Linked DNA regions of Yarrowia lipolytica. The protein of the gene in region 1 interacts with the protein of each later gene in a biochemical or structural test. Links are inferred from orthologs where the notes say so. Each region holds a gene or a part of one and is shown on either strand. Other genes may lie near its edges.

Region 1 (10,690 bases):
CTCTGAGTACTTTCAAGACCCAGATCAACGAGGAGGATCTGTTGACACTCACTGTGGACGAGTTTGTGGCTCATACTCGCAGAGCCAAGGGAGGCACCATTGTGCGGATCCCCAAGGTCGACATCAACATGCACACATGGCAGTACGACACCAACCCTACTGAGGTCAAGTTCACATACTCGTCCGAATTCGCCGGCAAAGTGGACATTGGCTGGAACTTTGGCTCAGTCACCTTCATCCGAGAAATGTGGAACTCGCACGCCAAGGCCTTTGCCAGCCGAAGAGAGGCCTACAAGCTCAACTTTGTGGCCAACCCGTCGGTGCTCAAGGATGGCGAGCTGGAGGAGAAGCTCAAGGATGTGGCTCTGGATGAAAAGTACGTCTATGTGGCGTTGGAGCCTCCCAACATTGAGATTCCCCAGCTGCGAGATATGGGCGAAGCCACTCCTCCCATTGAGTGGATTGGTCTGCATCGACAGCGGTTCCCCGGTCTGACTCATCAGGTGGTGATTGTGGGTCTTCAGGGCTTGGTCAAGGAGGTTGAAGTTGCATACTTTACAGTTCTTGGAGCGTAATGACGGCGATATAATGGAGTTTGAGGAGGAAGAAGAGAAAGATATGAGCGGCTGAGTGTGGGGGACAAAAAGGAGGACAATTTATTTATTTATATTATTTTATTATTTCAATTTGGGGTGCTCCGGCACACATGCAGTACATACTCGTACTCGATCTTGGATCAGTGGTGTGTGGCTAGACCATTCATAAATCACTACAGGACAGCCTTGTGTATCACGCGGTGCATCATCTGTTTCTGGACCCTTCTGGACCCTTCTGTTTGTTTCTTCTGTCTCACTCCATCCAACTTCCACACATCGACGATGCAGAAATCAGGCGTGGAAAACAGAAGTTTGGATCGGTGATGGTGTGGAGTTGTAGGGAGGATGGAGTTGTAGGAGGATGAAGGGCGTGGATGAGTACTTGAATCTCGTTTGAATCTCGTTTGTTTCTATGCAAAATGTGTCAAGATAAGATGATTAGTCGTGTAGAAGAGGAGCCAACTAATAGATAAGTATTTCGTTCCAAAGGTAATCATTTTCCAAGTGTAACGCTAACTAATGATTGAAGGGATGGGGTTTTATGATGGAGTTTTAAAGACATTTTTGGAGATGAATTGTGCCAAAAAGAAACATTTGCTAAGAATATGTTTGCGGTCTATCGCTTTATTCATCTACAATTTCTCTAGCATCTTTAGAACACCGAATATGAACCCCCAGCATGCTTTTGCTCTTAACAAAATGTCAAGTAAAGAAGACTTTTCCAGGAAAGGACGTGAGTTCTGAAAATGGGCAGAAAAAAAGTAGCACAGACACAAAAAGTGGACCTTAAAAGACATCCAAGCCCTAATACCCCAAGCATCTGCTTCTACTCGGTCTACTCCCTGGGTTGTATGGTTGCCACCAGACCTGCCTGGGTTACCCTACCCGATGTGAAGCTTGTCCTTCTTCACCTGCAGCGTACTTACTCAGCACTCACTGGTTTGAACTGTACACACACCACATCACCACCCTCCAACCGTCTGTTTCAGCATGAATAACAGCGTGGAGGAGTTTTTGGCGCAGACGCAGCGCGGGCTGGACACGCAACAGCCGCCGCGACCTCGTTCCCACGACTCGCGCGACACCGAACGAGATGTCCGAGATCGAGAACGAGAGCGGGACCGGGACTTCAGAGACCGAGACCGTGAGCGAGACCGCGAGCGGGACCGGTACCGTAACCAGCGGTGGCGTCGACGGGACGACTCGGTGGACCGTGAGCGGGAGCGAGAACGACACAGAGATCGAGATTATCGAGATCGCGGCGATCGAGGAGATCGAAGGGACAGATACAGCAGAGATGGAGGTAGAGACCGACGGGACCGACGGGACGACGATCGCACACGTGACAGACCACGTGATCGAGACAGAGACAGAGACAGAGACAGAGACAGAGACAGAGACAGAGATAGGGATAGGGATAGGGATAGGGATAGAGACAGAGGAGACAGAGAACGGGCACGTGACCGAACCCGCGAACGAGATCGAGACGTTTCGATCGACGATAGCGTGGTGCCTCTCGACGAGCGTCCATTGTCTGCTCCCACGGGCTGGGATGTCAAGGCTCGAGGATATGAGCGGGTCAGTTCTGAGCTGGCCAAACGATCGGGTCTGTTTCCGTTACCGGGACGTCCCACCCAAGTCAACTATAATGTGTTGAGGGGACTGGTGGAAGGTCTGCCTGATCAGCCCACGGACCACGAGACGGCAGCAATGATGCCTCTGGTGGACACGGGACCCATCAACAACGGTAAGGGATCTGTTCGACCTGAGTTTTCACGGGTGGCGCGAAGACTGATTCTGAGTGGTATTCCTGCCGATCAGATCGACACGGTGGCCATCAAGAGCTTCTTCACAGACTTCATCGAGGGTCTGGAGCTGCAGGGATCCAAGGAACGGATTGTGGACGGAGTTTACAAGCATCCTCGTCTCCCCGAGGTGTTAGTGGAGTTCTTTTCTGCGGAAATGGCAACCTTAGCCCTGGCTCTGTCTGGTCTAGGTATCAATTACTCGGGACCCCCCATTAGTATACGACGACCGTCCAACTACATTTGTCCTACGCCAGAGAGAAGCGAAGTTTCAAGAAGATCGCTGGACGAGGAGAAGGAGGTGGCTTCTGTGGTGGAGGACTCCAACACGAAAATCATTGTGTGGGATATTCCGTTCAACGTAGAAGAGGACCAGGTGCGACAGCTGACAGCATCGTTCGGTGAGCTTTCTGCATTCCAGCTCATTCGACAGCTGCCGTCTCGGGAGTCGGCGGGCATTGCTCTGGTGGACTACAAGGACCCCGAGGTGGTCAAGGACGCCGTTTCAGGGCTGTCAGGACAGGTGATTGGTGGAAAGAACCTCAAGGTAATGCTAGCATGTGAAGGACCCACGCAGTTGTCGTGTTCGTCCAACAACGGGTTGAAGGGAATTGTGACGGTCATGAATGACGTCAAGAGCCGGCCGGAGTCGTCGGTCATTGTTCTGTTCAACCTGGTGACTCTGGACGAGCTGCTGGATGATGTGGCCTACAGAGAAATCACCGAGCAGGTCGAGTCCGAGTGTCTCAAATATGGAGGAGGAGAAGAGGTCCAAATCAAGATCCCACGACCTGACCCCGAGGCCATGAAGGCGTCGTATCGACGGCTAATCTTTGAGACTCGTCCAGGTGTGGGAAAGGTTTACGTCAAGTTTGCCAGTGTGGAAACGAGTCGAGTGGCGATGCAGAAGTTGACGGGCCTGCGGTTTAGCAGGAGAAGTGTCATTGCGAGTTATTACTCGGAGGAGTGTTTTGACATGAATGTGTTTTAGATAGTTGAGCGCAACGGAGAGACACTTGTTCCAGGACTCTCAATCGGAGCAGTGGAGTGCGAACGAGCTAGACATTGTGACGCTCTCTACTCTGATATGAAGGTTCATCTATCATTATTGTGTTTGTCATCATGGATTTTGGCTGGATTGGATATAATGATACCGAGTTTCCTTCGGGGTTATAGGTCTTTACATTAATTGTACATTTGAATAGTTGGATTTTTGTATAAGGGTATGAGCAGCAAGAAAGCAATTTGTAGAAAAATGAGTAGGAAGAGCGCGATTTTCACATTGTCGCAGTTCTGAACACTCGTGGAATGTCAAACAAATAATTAAAAAATAAAATAAAAACAAATAAAAATAAAAATAAAAATAAATCTTAGATTATTGTGTTTTTTATTTAATTTTTTTTATTATAACATTAATACATTAAACTCTATATTTAATAAGACAAGTACTTGTACTGTAGGTAAACCGCTGAATGTGATCGACGGATTAACTCTGACCCAGCTCTCTCTTAAAATAATGCGATTAAAAAATAAAAATGAAAATAAATAAATAAATAAAGATCAATAAATTAAGATAAATAAAATAAAGATCAATAAATAAAGATAAATAAATAAAAAGACGTACACATAGAATTCCACACGTTGAACATGAACCACGAGAGAAACGTTGCTCGTTCTATGGTACAGATACTCCATGGTCCACCAAACTCTCAGACTCGTATCGAGGCATAAAGTTGAGGGCCGAGTCAGAGATGCAACGTCTCCCCCACCATCAAACTCAGCCCACAGACATGACCCTACTCCCTCACGCTAGGTTAGCAAGGTGGTTGAAAAAAGCGACCACGTTCAGATATCACATCACGATTGTTTTCTTTTGTCGTTGAGTATCCCCATGTTCTTTGTAGGTTGGCTCTTCCTAATACCATAATGTTTTTCATCATTGGTTGTGCGGATCGGGTCTTTCTCCAGGTGTACTTACCGTTAGTTTGGGGTTCACAGAATCCAAACAGCGTACCACCCGCTTTATATACCCTGACTTTCGGGGCAACTGGCGCTTCTGTTTTTAGCCACCGATCGCAATGGCGCTTTCTATTGGACCGCCCTCGACTTGCACTGCACCGCACCACATGGCACCAAACTCTGAAACCATGCTGGAGGTGGATATTTGGGGCTGGGAGCGGCGTTTGGAGACCGTGAGGTTGCCTGAAACGACACCGAGGGTCCGCCGGTCGTTTTTCGCCGTCTTCTGGACCCCCAAATGCCCCCAGGTCTACCCCGGATCATTTTACTTCTCACACGCCCCCTTTGCTTTCATCATGTTGATGCACGCAAATATAGTGTTTGGAAGGAAAGAAGAAAAAAAAAAAGGAAGAAAAAAACCGGAAAAACCAATAAAAAATGGGAAAAAATGGAAAACTTGCAGACTGGAATTTACGTCGATGAGATGCGAGAACCCAAGAATCAGTTTGGTAGTCAACAGAGAGCATTTCAGGTGGGTTGTGAAGACGTGAATATACGAAGATACGAAGATACGAAGATACGAAGATACGACCTCAGATCACGTCCATCTCACTCATTGCCTGAACGACTGGTACATTCAACGATTGTCAGGTGTTTCGTCACAGGCAGGGTAACTACAGAGAAGTGTATGCTACAGTACTTGTAGTAGGGTTGGATGAATCCATGAGAACGAGGACTGCATCAGAGATACTGGTGGTGCTAATACTCCACCTTCCGATCATGTCCAGTAAACGCGTTGTAGCTAAGTCAAGTCATGAAGCATTTCTTGTATATCATAAATAGGTATGCACGGCGAGCTCTGGGCACAATACCGTGGTTGTATGTGCAGTGTGGGTCGTTTCAGTCAACGTCCTACTTGTAGGTGGTAAAATACCTTGCTGTGACCACTTCTTGTCTCTCGCTTCTGGCGACTTGTCTCTTGGTTCTTGTCGCTCTCGTCTCGCCTTAAATGGTCTTGACCTCCTCATATATCGCCTCGTCATATGGATGCCTCACCAACAAATCATACAAGTCCTCGGGCAACTTGGCAACGAAACTCATGCCCAGCTTGATAATCTCCTGGGCTCGCAATGGAGGCAGGGACCGCAGAAGAGACATGGGCGACTTGCTCTCCAGCAGCTTGTCTCGCATGAGATTGACCTGCGCAATCACAAACAACACGTTCATGTGAACCCCGTAGGCAAACAGGAAATCCCACAGCACGACCACCTCAGACAGCGGCGGAGTGCAAGCAGATAGCGTGAGCACCGATGCAAACGCGTACAACTCGGCCTTGAGCATCTTGGAGTTGAGGTACTTGTAAAGAGTTGGGTCAATGATCTCCAGACACTTGTCGATGAGGGCCAGAGCAGAATGCACTCCCTCCAGAGTGGGTTTTACGTAGAGAGGGCAGTCCCGAGACAACATGACGTCCAGCAGATTGAATGCCATTGCCTCACTTTTGCAGACGTACAGGAACGGGGCTGCGAGGACGTTCATACCTTGAACGTACTGATCTCGGTGTGATTTTTGCAGGTGGTCAATGCCCTCTTCCAGACTCGCCTTTTGCTCGCGCATTTCATTTTTCCATGCGTATGAGTTGAGAACTCGGATGAGCGCGTCTTCCGGCACCTTTTGCTTGAACACCGTGTCTGTGGCCATTGTCCTGAACGTGTCGTTTCGGATCTTGCCGTACATGGGCGAAGGGCCCAGCTTGATGAGTCTGATGTAGTCTTCAGCACGGGTGGGAGGCACCTGGAGCAAAACAGACCACACTGTTGCTCGGTAGGTGCATTCTGCCTGGTCGTTGGCCTTCAACCCCTCCACCAGAACGAGATATCGCAACTGTCCAAGTGAGCTCTTGAGAATGATGGGAGTCTTTGATAGGAAGTTTTCGATTGTATCTTTTCGGCGCGAGCGCGGTTTGGTCGGCGATTTGCGCTCGCTGAACGAAGATATGCTGGACGTTTTGCGCAGGTCGCGTTCCAGCTTCTCCAAACTGTCTCTTCGTGACATGTGTGAGCTGCTTTTGTTTGGGGTGCGTCGGAGGTGGAGATTTGGGCCACGAAGCTGGTTGTTTGAAGTGGGAAATTGGGGATCGGCGACCTGGTAGTCGGTGACTTTGATGGGATCGCTTTCAGGAGACACGAAGGCTGAACTGGATGGGGTTGCGGGTGCACTGGAAACATCACCAGTCGCCATGTTTACAAGTAGTGCATGTGCATGAATCTTAATCTCTGGAGTGTCGATAGGGGTTGAGGAGGCCGCTGGGGGCCGGAAAAGTTGATCGATTGGCGCCAGATTCGAAAACGAGTATGGATGGACCTTCTGGGGCCGCATTTTCAAGTTTCAGACCGGTGCACGGTCGCCGGCGGATGCTGTGTGCTGTTGTGCAGAGACTTTTTAGTAGTGTAAACACTCCAATGGAAGAGTATGAGCAAAGCACTGTGAGAACCAACTGGTGCGTACGATAGCGTGGAATAATATAATGCCGGAGCTCGGGAAATATGGCTTTGACTTGATTGCTGGACCCACCAACAAAATGAGCTACAGGTACAGTACAAGTACAGACAAGTGTCGCTGGTCTCACCAAAAAGTCAGTCATAATCACATAATACATTATCGTAGGCTCGTCTAGTCACCTCTAATAGTTCTACGTACAGCTGCGGCTGTATTGTTTGGATCAAGGGAATGACCCCAAACTCATGGGCCAACATCTACTGCTGGTCCTTGAAGTTGAACGGAGCATAGGCGTACCCCTCTCCCTCGAAAAACTTGGACATGGCCTCAACCCAGTGCAATCTGAGGGAATGAAGCATAGCAGATGTTCCTTCCATCATCACCAGAATGACCACCGTCAGAACAAACCACATGGCAAACATGATCACAACCATGGCTACACCGGCGGGTCCCGTGGGTCCAAAGGCGCCCTGGATAGTCATGTCCCAAAGCACAGTAGACAGCTGGGCATGAGCCAGAGACAGAGCCCATAGACGCAGGTAGGAAGCGGTATGCGACACACAGTTGAGGCAGAACTCAATGGTATGAATCACCTGGTGGATCATCACCTCTCCAAACTCAAACTGCTCGTGTCCCTCACCTTCCTCTTCAAACTCCTCAATGGTCATATCGAACGAGTCTGCGTCGTCGTCAGTGTCACCAATATGGTAGGCATTGGGCTGTCGAATGGCGTCATATTGTGTCTGCTTATGCTGTCGTCGCAGGTAGAGCGGCTTGAGAAGGAGCAGCCACGGAACACAGACAAGCGCAATAAGCACCAGAATGATCTGCACAAACTTTTGGCCGGGATACAGAGGAGCATCGATGGTGCCTGGGCTCAAAAACATGTTGATGAGCATGTTCAGCAGACCAGGAGGGGTCTTATCCTTGGCAATCCAGTCTACGCACCACTTGTACACAATGGTGAGCGAAAGGTAACCGAAGATGGATTGCATGAACAGCAAGCCAGGTACAAAATTGCCCCAAATATCAATCTGCGAGTTGAAGAACTTGTAGTTGAGGAAAGAGAAGAAGAAGGAGTAGCTCATGTGGGTGAAACCCATGAGAATCGACAGCTTCATCTTGTACGAGTTTGTGAACAGCAGGTTGTTGTCTGTTCCATGCCATGCGGGATCCAGGCCAAAGGGGTAGACTCCCGTTTGGTGGGCTGTGATACGCTCTTTTTCCTCCCAGCTCTCAGGCCAGGCCCATCCCGATCTGAACAGTGTCATACTCTTGGAAAAGATATCGTTGTACATGAGACCTGTGTAGAGCGAGAAGATGCCCATCAGTAGCACAATGTATCTGCCCGAGAAGGCCATGTCGAAGATTTCGTCTCGGTTTCGCATCTTGAGAATGCTCTTTTCCTTGAGCACCATGACGAGTCCTGCCAGGGCCAGAATAACACCATGACCCAAATCACCAAACATGATAGCAAACATGAATGGAAAAGTGACAACAGTCGCCAAACCAGGGTTGATTTCCTGGTACGACGCAATACCGTACGCGTCGACAATGAGCTGGAAAGCCGCCGTGAATTTGTTGGTTCTGTGGAATGTTGGTGGAGTCTTTGACGTTTTGATTTCGTTGAGAATCGAATTGATGGCCACTCCGGACGACAGAGTCACATCGCGGAGCACCTCCTGGACGGCTCTAAAGTCCGCCTTGGGGATCCATCCCTCGGCGATCAGACATCGACGGGTCTGGTCGTAGTTGAACATGTTGAGAGTGTGGTAGATGGCCTTTTCTTTGTTGGCCAGAACCTCCCAGTGGGGCAGAGTATTGGCAGCGAGAGCCAGCTCGGTCATGAGCGCATTGTTAGTGGATCCTAGGACGTTGTCCACGTCCGCAAGCTTGATGTTTAGCTCTTCTACCTGTTCTCGTCGTGTATCAAAGTCCTCCGAGACAGGGTACAGAGTGGCGTCCAGGGTGAGGGCGATTCGCTTGATTTTCGCCAGCAGCGACTCTCCGTGTCCAAAGACAATGAACACGTCCTTTCTAACGCCCGCCAGCGGCTTTTCGATCGCCTGGTGTCGAAAATACAGGTTTCCACGCAGAGATCGCCACAGGATCCGCTCGAAAATGGCGGTTTTGGTCGAGGGGATGACTCCGGTGACAAACGAGAGCCCCGCCACCGAGTTCCAGGTGACTGTTGCGGCCTCCACGTCTGGCTGAGGGTCGTCCAGGTCGTACAACAGGCCCGCTCGGTCGCCCTCTAGAGACGCTCGAATTTCGTGTCTGTTTTCTCTGGCGTCTGCAAAGAAGATGCCTGCCGTCTGGACCATTTCTCGACGTTCCAGAATCAGCGCACGCTTGTCAACCAGCTCATTCCAGGTTGTGTCCAGGTGTCCCACGCGCTCCTCCAAAGCCCCGACCTGGTGACACATGTTGTCCACCTCGTCCAGAGTCGGAGCCGCCACTCCCTCGGGCTGCTCATCGATTGCCACGCCATGCTTGTCGATATGCGCCCGCAGGCCGCGCAATTGGCGCTCCACGCCGTCCACGCGGCGAATTTCCTTGATGAAGGACCGCTGAAAAACGTTGACCGAGGTGTTGAGGTCTCTGAACATGACCACGCCCAACTCTCCTAGAGCCGCAACCACGTCTCGGCCGATTTCACTGGCCACGTACAATTGGACCAGCGACATTTCAGCCGACCGAAATATCGCCTCACGTTCCATCGCAGCTGTTTCCATGATGGCGGTATGAGTAGATGACGAGAGGATGATATGCCACTTGTCAACCTTAACATTACTAAGTGGCAGAGGTCTGGCTGCATGGACGACCGACTGCAAGAGACCAAAGATGCAACAGGGAGGAGTCCCAGGGTGGTACAAATGTTGGTGACGACCGTGCTACAGCCTAGTCACATGATCTCATTGGCTTATTAATACCCTTTGCTTTCGTTGCACCTTCAAAACCCCGCATTTTTCACCACCACCAACTTTTCACCGCTTCTTGGCACTACGTGTACAATCTTACTCTAGGGTCGGCTCCGCGGCTTATCAGATTCTTTCCGATAAGCTCTGGGATGCAGCTTGGGGTCATCTTGTGTAGCTGGAGCGAATGGTGTCCGTTTTCGAGACTTTTTTTGCTTCCATTTCCGCCCATTTCGCGCAACTCGTGAATCATATAGGGCCCTTACTTTTGATGCAATCTTACAACAGTACGATACGACTGTCGGCGTATTTTAATGTTAAAAATTCAGTATGAAATGAAGAAGAAAAAAAAAGAAAAAAAACTGGATAAAAAACTGGATAAAAAAGGAAAAAAGAAAATGTTGGATGATACTTATATCTAGACGGGAAGTGATCAGAGGAGACAGGAAAATGTATCGTCGGAATCCCCGAGACTGGGAGAATCGATTTCCGTTGTCATATTTCAGATGCGACGGAAACTGCGCCGTTCAGCTCCTGTTCTTCTCTCAAATTGCAACTCCCAACAGAACTGTAAAGCTGCGAGAAAAAACCGTAGTGCAATGGAAGTAGTTATGTTGCAAAGTACAGTTTGTAGGCGGTTTGGGTGGCGGGTGCTGGTGGCAACTGTATGTGTGGATATGAGTATGAGCAATAGTTTTTGGGGATGGTATTTTTTTGCACGTTGCACGTGACTACTTGTAGTTAGTAAGTAAACCAGATTTCTGTTTCACCTCAATTTGTTCAACAATTGACTCTCAGCGTCAGTTTTGAAACACGTGATTTCCCCACAGACGATATTACGTCATCACACAGCCCGCACTAATTATAGGTGCCTTCTGCACGATATACAGTCCCACACCAGGCAGCATCAAAC
Region 2 (10,322 bases), on another chromosome or scaffold:
TTGGTAGAGATATCAGACAGCGGTGGGCTGTCTGGAGCGAAGACGACATACCAGTAGCGTCCAGAAGCACCCCAGAGTCTTACAAAAGTCGCACCAGAAGAACCCAAACGTTCATCCAAACCCACTCTTATTCATGTTCCAGTCCTGACACATCTGGTGACTCGGATCACGAACAGAGGTTGAGCAGAGCAGTCGAACACATTGTTATCGGTCGAACACAGGTAGAACACACCGTTATCGGTAGAACATATCGAGTGACTGGTTGGGTATTGCACCTAAATGACCCGCTCGACAGGCTCGTTGCCAACCTCCACTGGCTCTGTGGCGCCTCTATTCTCTCACTTGTAGCCAGATCGAAACCTGACTCCGTCTCATACTCACTAAGTCTGTTTTAGTGCGTCGAAAAAATGCGAATGTTGCGCAGTGAATGTGGAAAAGTCGTCTTTATCTGTGCTTGGCAGGGATTTTTCGTCGTCTAGCAGTGCAACCGTGTGGAACTTGTAACCAGGAACTTGTAGCTTGTCTCTCCTCAGCTTTTTCCCACGGTATTATATTAAGCCACATGTTTATATGCACGGTTGGAGATTTGAGTTGGATGTGAAACTCTGACGTGCACCTTGTTGCTAAAAGTAGAAGTGGAATGCACAATCCGACGACGGCGCAAATATGGTCGATTTTGGCCGGGAAAAGGGCCTCAGACCCATGTTGGAGCCCGTATCTTTCTCCTGACACCTTTTCCACCCACTTTTACCCCCTAAAGAGTCCTTTTCGACTCACCCTCTTCTTGCCTCCCCTCCCACTCTCTCTCTATACTCCTCCCTTCTCCTGGATAACCTTGTACGCGCGTGCCGTTAATACCAGATGCCACATCCACAGAGCAGCCAAACAATTTGAGAGAGAAAAAGAGGAGCTTTGAGATTCTCTGTACTTCCAAATTTGGCGGCTGTCCCATGGTAGCCACGTGGCCTCATATCCCCATCGCGCCTCCCAAATCTGCCATTTCCCGCAACCACCTTGCAACCATCTCGAAACCATCGCAACCAACTGGCTCCCCTCAAACCCCTATACACGTGAACCGATCGTATTTGTCTTGGCCGGCGTTAGCCTATAGTTGGAGAAAAGAGAGATGAGGCATAGCGCGCCGACACCCATTTTGGGGCTGTTTGGGGGGCCTTTTGGGCAAAATACGAAAATTCTGAGACACAAAAGCCTCCCCTTTCAAACACCCCCATCCCATGGCCATTACGGTTGTGTATACACCACGGCTATATCATAACACAATCTCTCTCAGCTCACCACAGACTAATAGAACCCAACTCTACCAACTCTCTCCCGTTTACATACTTCCCAAAAAGAGACACCACTGTACTGTAGGTTCGAACCCCTACCCTGCTCGCTTATTCCACGCATCTCGTATGTGGGCTATTTTTAGCCCGTGTGGAGATGGAGGTCATCATATTAGCGTGTATCAACCTGGCTCTTGTCACGGGGGTGCTCGGGGGACAGATAGGAGGCACTTTGAACGTCATCTTTTCAAACGCATGCATATTCTGAGTCCACACACGTCATCTCACTTCAACGGGCCAAAAATAGTCACAGAAACGGGCCAAAAGAATGCACCGGAGCCGTTTTTTTTTACCGACGATCGTGCACGGGAGGAAGCAAGAAAAGACAGATGGTTAAAAATAACACGCGTAACACGAGTGAGGAGAGTACTCGTAGGAGTGGGGGGAGTGGGGAGAGTGAGTAGATGACGTCATTCCGGGAAAGACTTGCTGTGTATTGCACTCGCAGTTGTAAGACTATCTTGGAGGTCTGGAAAAGTCTTCGAGTTGCTGAAGTTCGTCCCAAGTAATTCTCAACTAATTCTGACATCCCAACTCATCAACCTGAAACGAGACACCACCCCATCTTGCTGCGCCTAAACCGCCTCGTATAGCTCCTCCTCCTGCAAGGGGTGCAGTGGTTTCATAGGAGACCCAGAATACTGCGAGATCCAGTAGCACGCTCTCTTTTATTATTACCCCTGACTCAGGGTAATAGGTAAGGCTGATATACCTTCGACTCGTATCGTAGTGAGGCTGGTGGACTGGTTCTAGCAGAGCTGAGACTGAGGTACAGCTGTAGCTATGGCAACAAACACGATCTGGCCGCGACGTTGGCCCGCGAGACTTTTCGGACAGTAATGCACACAGCCCGATTTGTCGACGCAGTCTTCAAACGGCGCATAATACTGGGGCTGGAACAATGGGATCTTTCCAGTAAACTTGTGCGCCACATTGTCTGTTGTAGGCAGTGTCAGTTGTATCGTAGGCAGTGTCCGCTGTAGACCGCGTCTGTGGCGAGCAATGTCTGTCGTAGGCAATGTGAATCGTAGGGACTGTGTGCTCTGATTTCTGGAGTGCTCCCTGAACTCTGGTGTGCCCCTGTGCTCTATTGTACCTCAGAAAAACATCCTGTGATGACGACTTGTAGATAAGAACCTTACGTAGAGCACACTGAACACTCGACTCCTGTACCCTTCAGTCATGATGCCACCCTGGCTTGTCAAAGGACTCATACCACAGGTTCTCGACACAACGTCTCGTGACGCAACAGCAGTGTTAACTTGAGTTCTTCGTGGCGGCAGAAGAACCCTGTGTTCTGACTTGGCACATGGGTGTGCGAATGAGTAGTTGCCCAAACATCCCTATCCGTATCAGTGTTCTGTGAAGCAGTCCATCAGTAGAACCTAACCGACAGAACTCAGTGAGATCGTCTCGAGATATACAAGGAACAGTCGAGATCGCGTTCTGAAGTCGCCAAGTCCACTTTGATGGGGTAGAAGCAGGACAATCGAGGGTTATCGTTGATACTAACACCAATTGGGTCAGTCCATCTGTGTATCTCTGTTCTGCCATTTGCCGTGTTCACAACCGCAGCTCCTCCACTTGGAGATCGCCACCTATAGCCACCACTCCACTCCAACACAAACACCAACAGCGAATTGGAGACGAAACATGATTGCATCTGCCGCTTTGTTGGTGTCTGTGCCGTTGAAAAAGTGGTGTGAAGGAGGAAAAGTGTGTTCAGGTGGTGGGTCTACTTGTAGTTTAAGGTGTCTAGACAGTTGAGGATTTACTACAGTACAAAACAGTAACGTCAAGTAACAAGTGTCTACAAAATAGACAGCGATGGATATTAGAAGATGGGAATATCACAGAGATCTTCAATAGAAACAATTGTGTATCTCTAAGCGTTTATTTCAAATAAATGTGGACGATGAGACGAGCTGTGTCCTGTTGTTTCAGGCTAACTAATTCCAACTAGGTTCTCAACTATGATTGAGAGATTAAACCAAGATAAAACCAAAACGAGATATTGTTGTAACCGATGTCATAGGATGGATAAGAGAAATCTGAGAATGTTTTATTATAAAATACATCTCATTATCAGTATTATGCCAGAAAAATACTTACTTAATATACAAAATGGAGATGTCGCGGCCGACCTCATTCAGCCATGTGCCCACTCAAACTTCGGTATCTGTCAAATATGGGTGACCGTTTTTGGAGTAACTTTACATCCTTTCCAACACACTTTCCACTAAAAGTTGCGATAAAAGAATGTACAATCTGTCCCATTTCACCCATTTTATAGTACTAATCTGTCGTTATTTCAGTCTTATTGTCACTACAACTACAACCTCTTGAAATGAGACCATTATATGAACCTGTCATTCCAACTAAACCCAACAAACTTACCAAGTTAACATACTTGGAAATATAAATATGTTATTAAAAAAATTATAAAGATGTTTTGCAAGATTAGCGGAGGCGTCGAAGATGGTTTTTCTTTTATTTACTCTCAAAAACTTATCTAATACTTTGATAATTGCAAAAATATCCCTCCAATGATTTCATATGGACCTGTCCTGTTCTTGTAGCATTGTGCTGTGGACCATATATAAACACCTTAGGCAATTCTACGGTATCGAGCACTTCAAATTTCTGCTCTATTGAGATATTTGATCATCAATAGGACCGATTCTGGTCTTCTACATGAAGAGCTCTTTAATTACTGTACATACTGTAGTAACACCCCAGTATGAAAAACCTGCCGGTCGGTCTCTATCGCTTCTTCGTGTCCCTACTTCTACTTGTAGCTGCTTTTCCGTGTGTATCGATGAAAACCTGAAGTAGAAGACCGACAAAATGTCCACCCAGCAGAGAAAGAATCATAGTCAGATTCAATCAGGTCATCCAGATCATCCAGATCATCCAGATCATCCAGATCATCCAGATGTTCGATAGAGAATCTAGACTGTTTACATCTACATTACCTACCAGGCACCCTGGTACATCTCAACCTACACATCACTCCAAGTCAATGCTTCATTTCTACTGTTCAGATGTCCACTTGACAGGCTGAGCTAGGCTGAGTCTGTTCGGGCGTGTTCGGGCGTGCTCGGGTCTGTTGTGCCTTCCTGCCAATTCGGCTCATCCTCCGACCTGGTTTTCCTCCTGTCTGGTCGTCCTCCTGCTTGGTTCGCTCTACCCATCCTCCTCGGCCCATCCACCCCTCCTCGGCTCATCCTCCTGTCTGGCTCACAGGTTGCGCCTGCTCGCTATAAATAATTACTGACCAACACCTTGGTACACCAAAATGGGCTCGCCAGTGTTGGTAATTTCCGGAATCGTCAGCTTCAGGTCAAACGCCTTGGACAGCACGATTTTGAAAATCTTTTGCACGTTGATGGAATGCGACGTGGAGCAGAAAATGAGCGACGCCTTCATGGCCTTGGCAAACTTCTTGGCCTGCTGGGTGATTTCCTCCTGGTCCTCCTTGGGTAACTGCACAAACAGATCGTACTTGGTGCCCACCAGAAACGGAATCGCCGTCTTGTTGAACCCCCGAGCCTGCCGGTACCACTCCTTGACGCTGTTGAGAGTCGATTTTCGCGTGAGATCAAACATGAACAGAATCGCCACAGAGTCGTTGGACACCAGCGGAAGCATGTTGACAAACTCCCGCTGGCCACCCAGATCCCAAATCAGAAACGTAATCTCCGTATCTCGTATCGACACCGTTTTTTCCATGAAGTTCACCCCCAAAGTCTGCACGTAGTCCTCGTCAAAATTTCCCTCGGCATACTTGACCATCAGCGACGTTTTGCCGATTTGCGCGTCTCCAATGAGCCCAATTTTCAGCGACACACTGTTCTTGTGTGGCACATTCATGTCCACAGGCACCGTTTTCTCTTGTTCCATGGTTGCAAATAAGTCTGGATATTGTTAGTGCTGTGGGGTTCGTGATGGTGGTGGAGTTGTGTTTTGATACGGTGTAGGTTGGATTAGGGTTTGAGCGGAATTCCCGTAAATCGGCAACTGTGGGCGCTGGAGTAGACATGGAAGGTGAACGTGACTTGTGGTGCAATTGTCTCTCACGTGACCATTTTCGGCGCGTAAATCCGACCGCAAACACGTCCGTTGCTCCCACGTGACCCGTTGCTATGACACTTGTTGTGGCCAACCTAAAAAATCCCATCTAGGGGTATGTCAAATATTCACCAGTGTAGCCCCAAAAGACGTTGGATGGTGGTTAAATTGGTGCCATTGGAATCGCTGTTCTTTGAGGGATACAATGGTATTATTTGTTTTGTAAATAGTTTACTTTTCATAAATGAGGCTGAAAACGCGCATTTACCGTTGTCAGTGCATTGTGACGTGGTGGTGATGAGAAGAAGACATCAATGTGGTCTAGAGGCCGTGGTTTGGCGGTTCACAAGACCTTTTGCGCTTTTTTGCCTGATTTCATGCCATTTTTGGCCATTATCCCGGTCTCAGAGTTTTGACATATGTCACCAATTTAGACTGTACAAATCTGTACATACAACCGGGCAATCTCTGTTTATATATTTTGTGCAATATCGGCGATATTTTTTTCCTTCAATATTCGAGAGAACCCCCATAATGACGCATGGGAATGGCTGGACACGTGACTATTCACGTGACCAGACCTGGGGGGGGGGTTGGTAGAGGATCTGGTTGAGCTATACAGTTTGGTACATACGAGTATCGTATTACTCAGCTACAAACTGTAGGGCCTCTACAAGTAAGGGGAGTGTGACACGTGATACGCCGGAAAGTCACGTGATACGCCGGAAAGTCACGTTTTAAAACGAAAGTCACGTGATAGACGGGAAAGTCGCGGACACAATCTGATCCACATGAGGTCGGTCTTTTACAAGGAGGTACTCCTAATTGAGGGTCACGACAGAATCGACTGTTGTCACGTGACATTAGGAACGGCGATACTATCGATACGAGTACGAGTGCTCTGAATCACGTGAATATACGATTCTCGCGACACTGATCACGTGAATATTTTTGTCGAGTGTAGGAGAATGAGTTGAAGATGTACAGTATCGATCGTCGCCTAGATTCACGCCCACTACAGTACATCTGTACTCGCACAGGTTCGATTCTTGCTTCTACACATTTAAACCACAATTAGCACGATTTTTCAAGACTGGAGATTTTCATGTCTGATCTGATCATCTCTTTAGAAGACTTATAATCTCTCTACAAGTACCGTTCTTGTACTTATATTTCTCTTCTACCGTCCACAATTGACAGCTTTGGGGTCTTGGACTGTCTTATACCAGCAACATCTTTTCCAGTATGTACAGTACATACTGCACAAGTATTGGTAGATCGTACCAGCGACATATGACACCAGAAACATATGGCATCAGAGAGAACACCACCAACTGGTCATTTCCCGTCATGCACGAGCTCGCCAGCGCTCTGCGGGGTTTGATTGTGATCTGCACCGTGCATATATTGGTTTTGTAGGAGGCGGAGTCCCGAAAAAAGTTCCAGGAGAAAAGTGTTCAGTGCTAAGTGTGAGTCTAGTATCTCCCCAACTAAATTGCGAGAAATATACATTTGCACACTTAGGAAACCGGACCACAACCAACTGGAGTCTCCTGACTAATCATCCACCTCTCGTGACTAATGCACCAATCAAAAGCCCGAGCTGTTATCTCACTTTCCCCACCAATTGCGGCCTGAATCATGCACCGTGGGCCGAGGCATGTGACACGCAGAGCAAGGCTATGTGAGGTTTGGGTCTGATCTGGAGCTCTTCTGATCAGGTACATGGTCTTCTGGGCGACACCGACGATGTCGCACGGAGGTTTGCTGCGGCACGTGCTCCCCCAAAATCGGCTAAAGACGCCGTTGTCGCTCCACAAAGAGTCCCTTGCGTGTGATCGGGCGGGGGTTGAGTGCCTGAGCGATATCGGCGTGGAGTTTATATTTTTCACCAAAGTCTAAAATTTTCACGCAAAGAGTCACGCTCAGTGAGATGCTCAACTCCGGCAGTATTCATGCACTCTGGACCTAATTCGCTGTGGCCGGTCACACGGCTATGACCGTCATCGGTTTCGGTGCGTCCGAGGAGCTTAGAGTGTGAGTGCATATGTGGGGGGGGGAGGAGCGAGGAATGTGAATAGCAGGGTGAATTTTAGTAAGTAATCGGATCCGAGGGTAGAGAAAGAACGAGGGAAGCTCAAGGAGTCCAATGGTAAAGTCCGCTTTGAATTATACCAACTATTGACCGAGATATTGCCTTCGAACCAACGGTTGTTGAAACCTAATGTGTTCTATGCCGGCCCTGTGGGCGCGAGATATGGGGAAGCGAGAGGAGCGGGAGCGGAGTTGATTGGAGTGGTGACAATGTCGCTGTCGAGAAGCGATATCGGTAGCTTTCGGAGTGTCGATATCACCGAGCCTCAGGGAACAATGGAGGTCCGGGGGACGTTGAAGTACAGTATACCTACTGACTGTCATATAGTACGGGATCCAGGGATTACGACAGTGGGTAGGTCTATAAGAAACAGAGGCTCATCAGCTATGGGGAAAGATTAACAGGTACAGTTGTATGAAACTTGAAAGTGGCAGCACAGACACTCTTATACTACGACTACTTGTAGTACTGTACTGGGAGTCTCCTCCTTGAAGCCTGTACGAAAGTCGCCTACAAGACTGTCCCCAAGTCCGGATCTGTTGGACTCTGGCATCCATCTTGGCCCAGATCGGATCTAAGACACTGGCGTGTCGCTAAACTAACCCTCCGACGGGGCTGTTCATTCACCTCCGGTCTATTAAAAGTGTAATAATGGTCTTTGTTAGTCTGTCTGGAGGCGAGAGAATTGTGGGGTAAGATGATGGAGTGGGTGTAGTGAGTTTAGTGAGAGAGTGTGGTAGCGAGTGGACGGCTAGATGTAGAGCTCGAATTGAGTGGTTATGAGTGGACCATGTTGTACTCCGGCCGAGATTACAAGTGGTTGAACGCCATCAACCTCATCAACGACGTCGCTGAAAAATGACGGAATCTTCAACTCTTGGATGTATTAACAATCCCGTGACAATCAGACACCAGCCAACTCCAGCAGACAGAGCAATTGATCTAACCATACTACTGTACCTGTAGTACGTAATACAGTAGTACCAGATGTACAGTGAGTCACCACCACCTATCTTGTACCCCATCTCCACCCAGCTCCATGACTCAATGCTTCTGTCTCACCGCTCGTCACCGCTCGTCACCGCTCGTCACCGCTGCTGCCTCGCCGTTCCCATCGGCCCCTACATCGGCATCCACATCGGCATCCACATCGGCATCACCATCGGCATATCACTCACTCACTGTCTGCATCTATCCATGACTCTTTTTTCGCTGCAAAATTCAAACCGTAAATCCACTCCAGCGACATCGGCAGACTGCTGCCAAACCTTGATCTGATTTGCGGCCTCCCGATTGGCCAATTGCCAACCTAAACTTTTCATCTGCTCCCAATCGCCTTGTTGTCGGAGCACTGTAACCTTAGCTCCAAAGTGCCCAACGTGGTCTATATAACGACGCTGAAAGTCCGCCGATTTTTTCTCTCTTTCTTCTCTCACAACCAATCCCCCCCAACACAACACCACAGTAATGTCTGCCCGACTTTTCTCCACTGCCTCTCGACAGGCTGCTCTCGAGCCCGCCGTTGCCCGAGTTGGCCACCGTGTGTCTGCCTCCCGATCCCATCTCCATGGCTGCTACCCGACCCGCCTTCAAGCTGTCCGCCCCCGCCGTGGCCCGAACCATCAAGACCATCTCCTTCAACGGAAAGGAGGACGAGATTGTCCACGAGCGAGCCGACTGGCCCCAGGAGAAGCTGCTCGACTACTTCAAGAACGACACCATTGCTCTGATCGGCTACGGCTCCCAGGGCTACGGCCAGGGTCTCAACATGCGAGACAACGGCCTCAACGTCATCATCGGAGTCCGAAAGGACGGCGCCTCGTGGAAGGCCGCTCAGGAGGACGGCTGGGTCCCCGGCAAGAACCTCTTTGACGTCAACGAGGCCATTGGCAAGGGAACTATCATCATGAACCTGCTGTCCGACGCCGCCCAGTCCGAGACCTGGCCCCAGATCAAGCCCCTCATCACCAAGGGCAAGACTCTCTACTTCTCCCACGGCTTCTCCCCCGTCTTCAAGGATCTGACTAAGGTCGAGACCCCCGCCGACGTTGACGTCATCCTCGTGGCCCCCAAGGGATCCGGCCGAACCGTCCGATCTCTGTTCAAGGAGGGACGAGGTATCAACTCCTCTTACGCCGTGTGGAACGACGTCACCGGCAAGGCCGACGAGAAGGCCGTTGCCCTCGCCATTGCCGTCGGCTCTGGCTACGTCTACCAGACCACTTTTGAGAAGGAGGTCCGATCCGATCTCTACGGAGAGCGAGGCTGCCTCATGGGCGGTATCCACGGCATGTTCCTTGCCCAGTACGAGGTTCTGCGAGAGCGAGGCCACTCTCCCTCCGAGGCCTTCAACGAGACCGTCGAGGAGGCCACCCAGTCTCTCTACCCTCTGATCGGCAAGTACGGTATGGACTACATGTACGATGCCTGCTCCACCACTGCCCGACGAGGAGCTCTCGACTGGTCCCCCAAGTTCAAGGACGCCCTCAAGCCCGTTTTCAACGAGCTCTACGACCGAGTCGAGGACGGTTCCGAGACCCAGCGATCTCTGGAGTTCAACTCCCAGAAGGACTACCGAGCCAAGTTCGAGGCCGAGCTGCAGGACATCCGAGATCTCGAGATCTGGCGAGTCGGCAAGGAGGTCCGAAAGCTGCGACCCGAGAACAACTAAGCGCCTCTATCCGCTCAGTTGCATGTCTGATATAGTGTCACAAAAGCGCACCGTATTCCATGAAGTGAATAGCGCATAATGTATTTATTGATTTTGTTCGAGATTGTGAGTTCATACAAGTATTAGCTGTAGCTGTAGA

What was found.
Region 2: the proteins of YALI1_E12454g (region 1) and YALI1_D03990g form a complex in vitro, tested with the Saccharomyces cerevisiae proteins (4 studies listed by BioGRID, with this or other methods). The link is inferred for Yarrowia lipolytica from reciprocal best matches to the Saccharomyces cerevisiae genes BUB2 and TEM1.

What each region holds. Positions count from the first base shown.
Region 1 is NC_090774.1:1,238,647-1,249,336, forward strand, and holds YALI1_E12454g (uncharacterized protein), read right to left. Parts: upstream 6,740-10,690; coding exon 5,366-6,739; downstream 1-5,365. Other genes in the region: YALI1_E12295g (uncharacterized protein), read left to right, coding at 1-575; YALI1_E12402g (uncharacterized protein), read left to right, coding at 1,587-3,392; YALI1_E12421g (uncharacterized protein), read left to right, coding at 3,489-3,577, 4,032-4,284; YALI1_E12482g (uncharacterized protein), read right to left, coding at 7,117-9,594. UniProt on the Saccharomyces cerevisiae protein: Part of a checkpoint which monitors spindle integrity and prevents premature exit from mitosis. This cell-cycle arrest depends upon inhibition of the GTP-binding protein TEM1 by the BFA1/BUB2 complex.
Region 2 is NC_090773.1:394,001-404,322, reverse strand, and holds YALI1_D03990g (uncharacterized protein), read right to left. Parts: upstream 5,250-10,322; coding exon 4,625-5,249; intron 4,569-4,624; coding exon 4,387-4,568; downstream 1-4,386. Other genes in the region: YALI1_D04030g (uncharacterized protein), read left to right, coding at 1,236-1,754; YALI1_D04017g (uncharacterized protein), read right to left, coding at 1,863-2,146, 2,194-2,408, 2,454-2,560; YALI1_D03987g (uncharacterized protein), read left to right, coding at 5,535-6,017; YALI1_D03952g (uncharacterized protein), read left to right, coding at 9,080-10,183.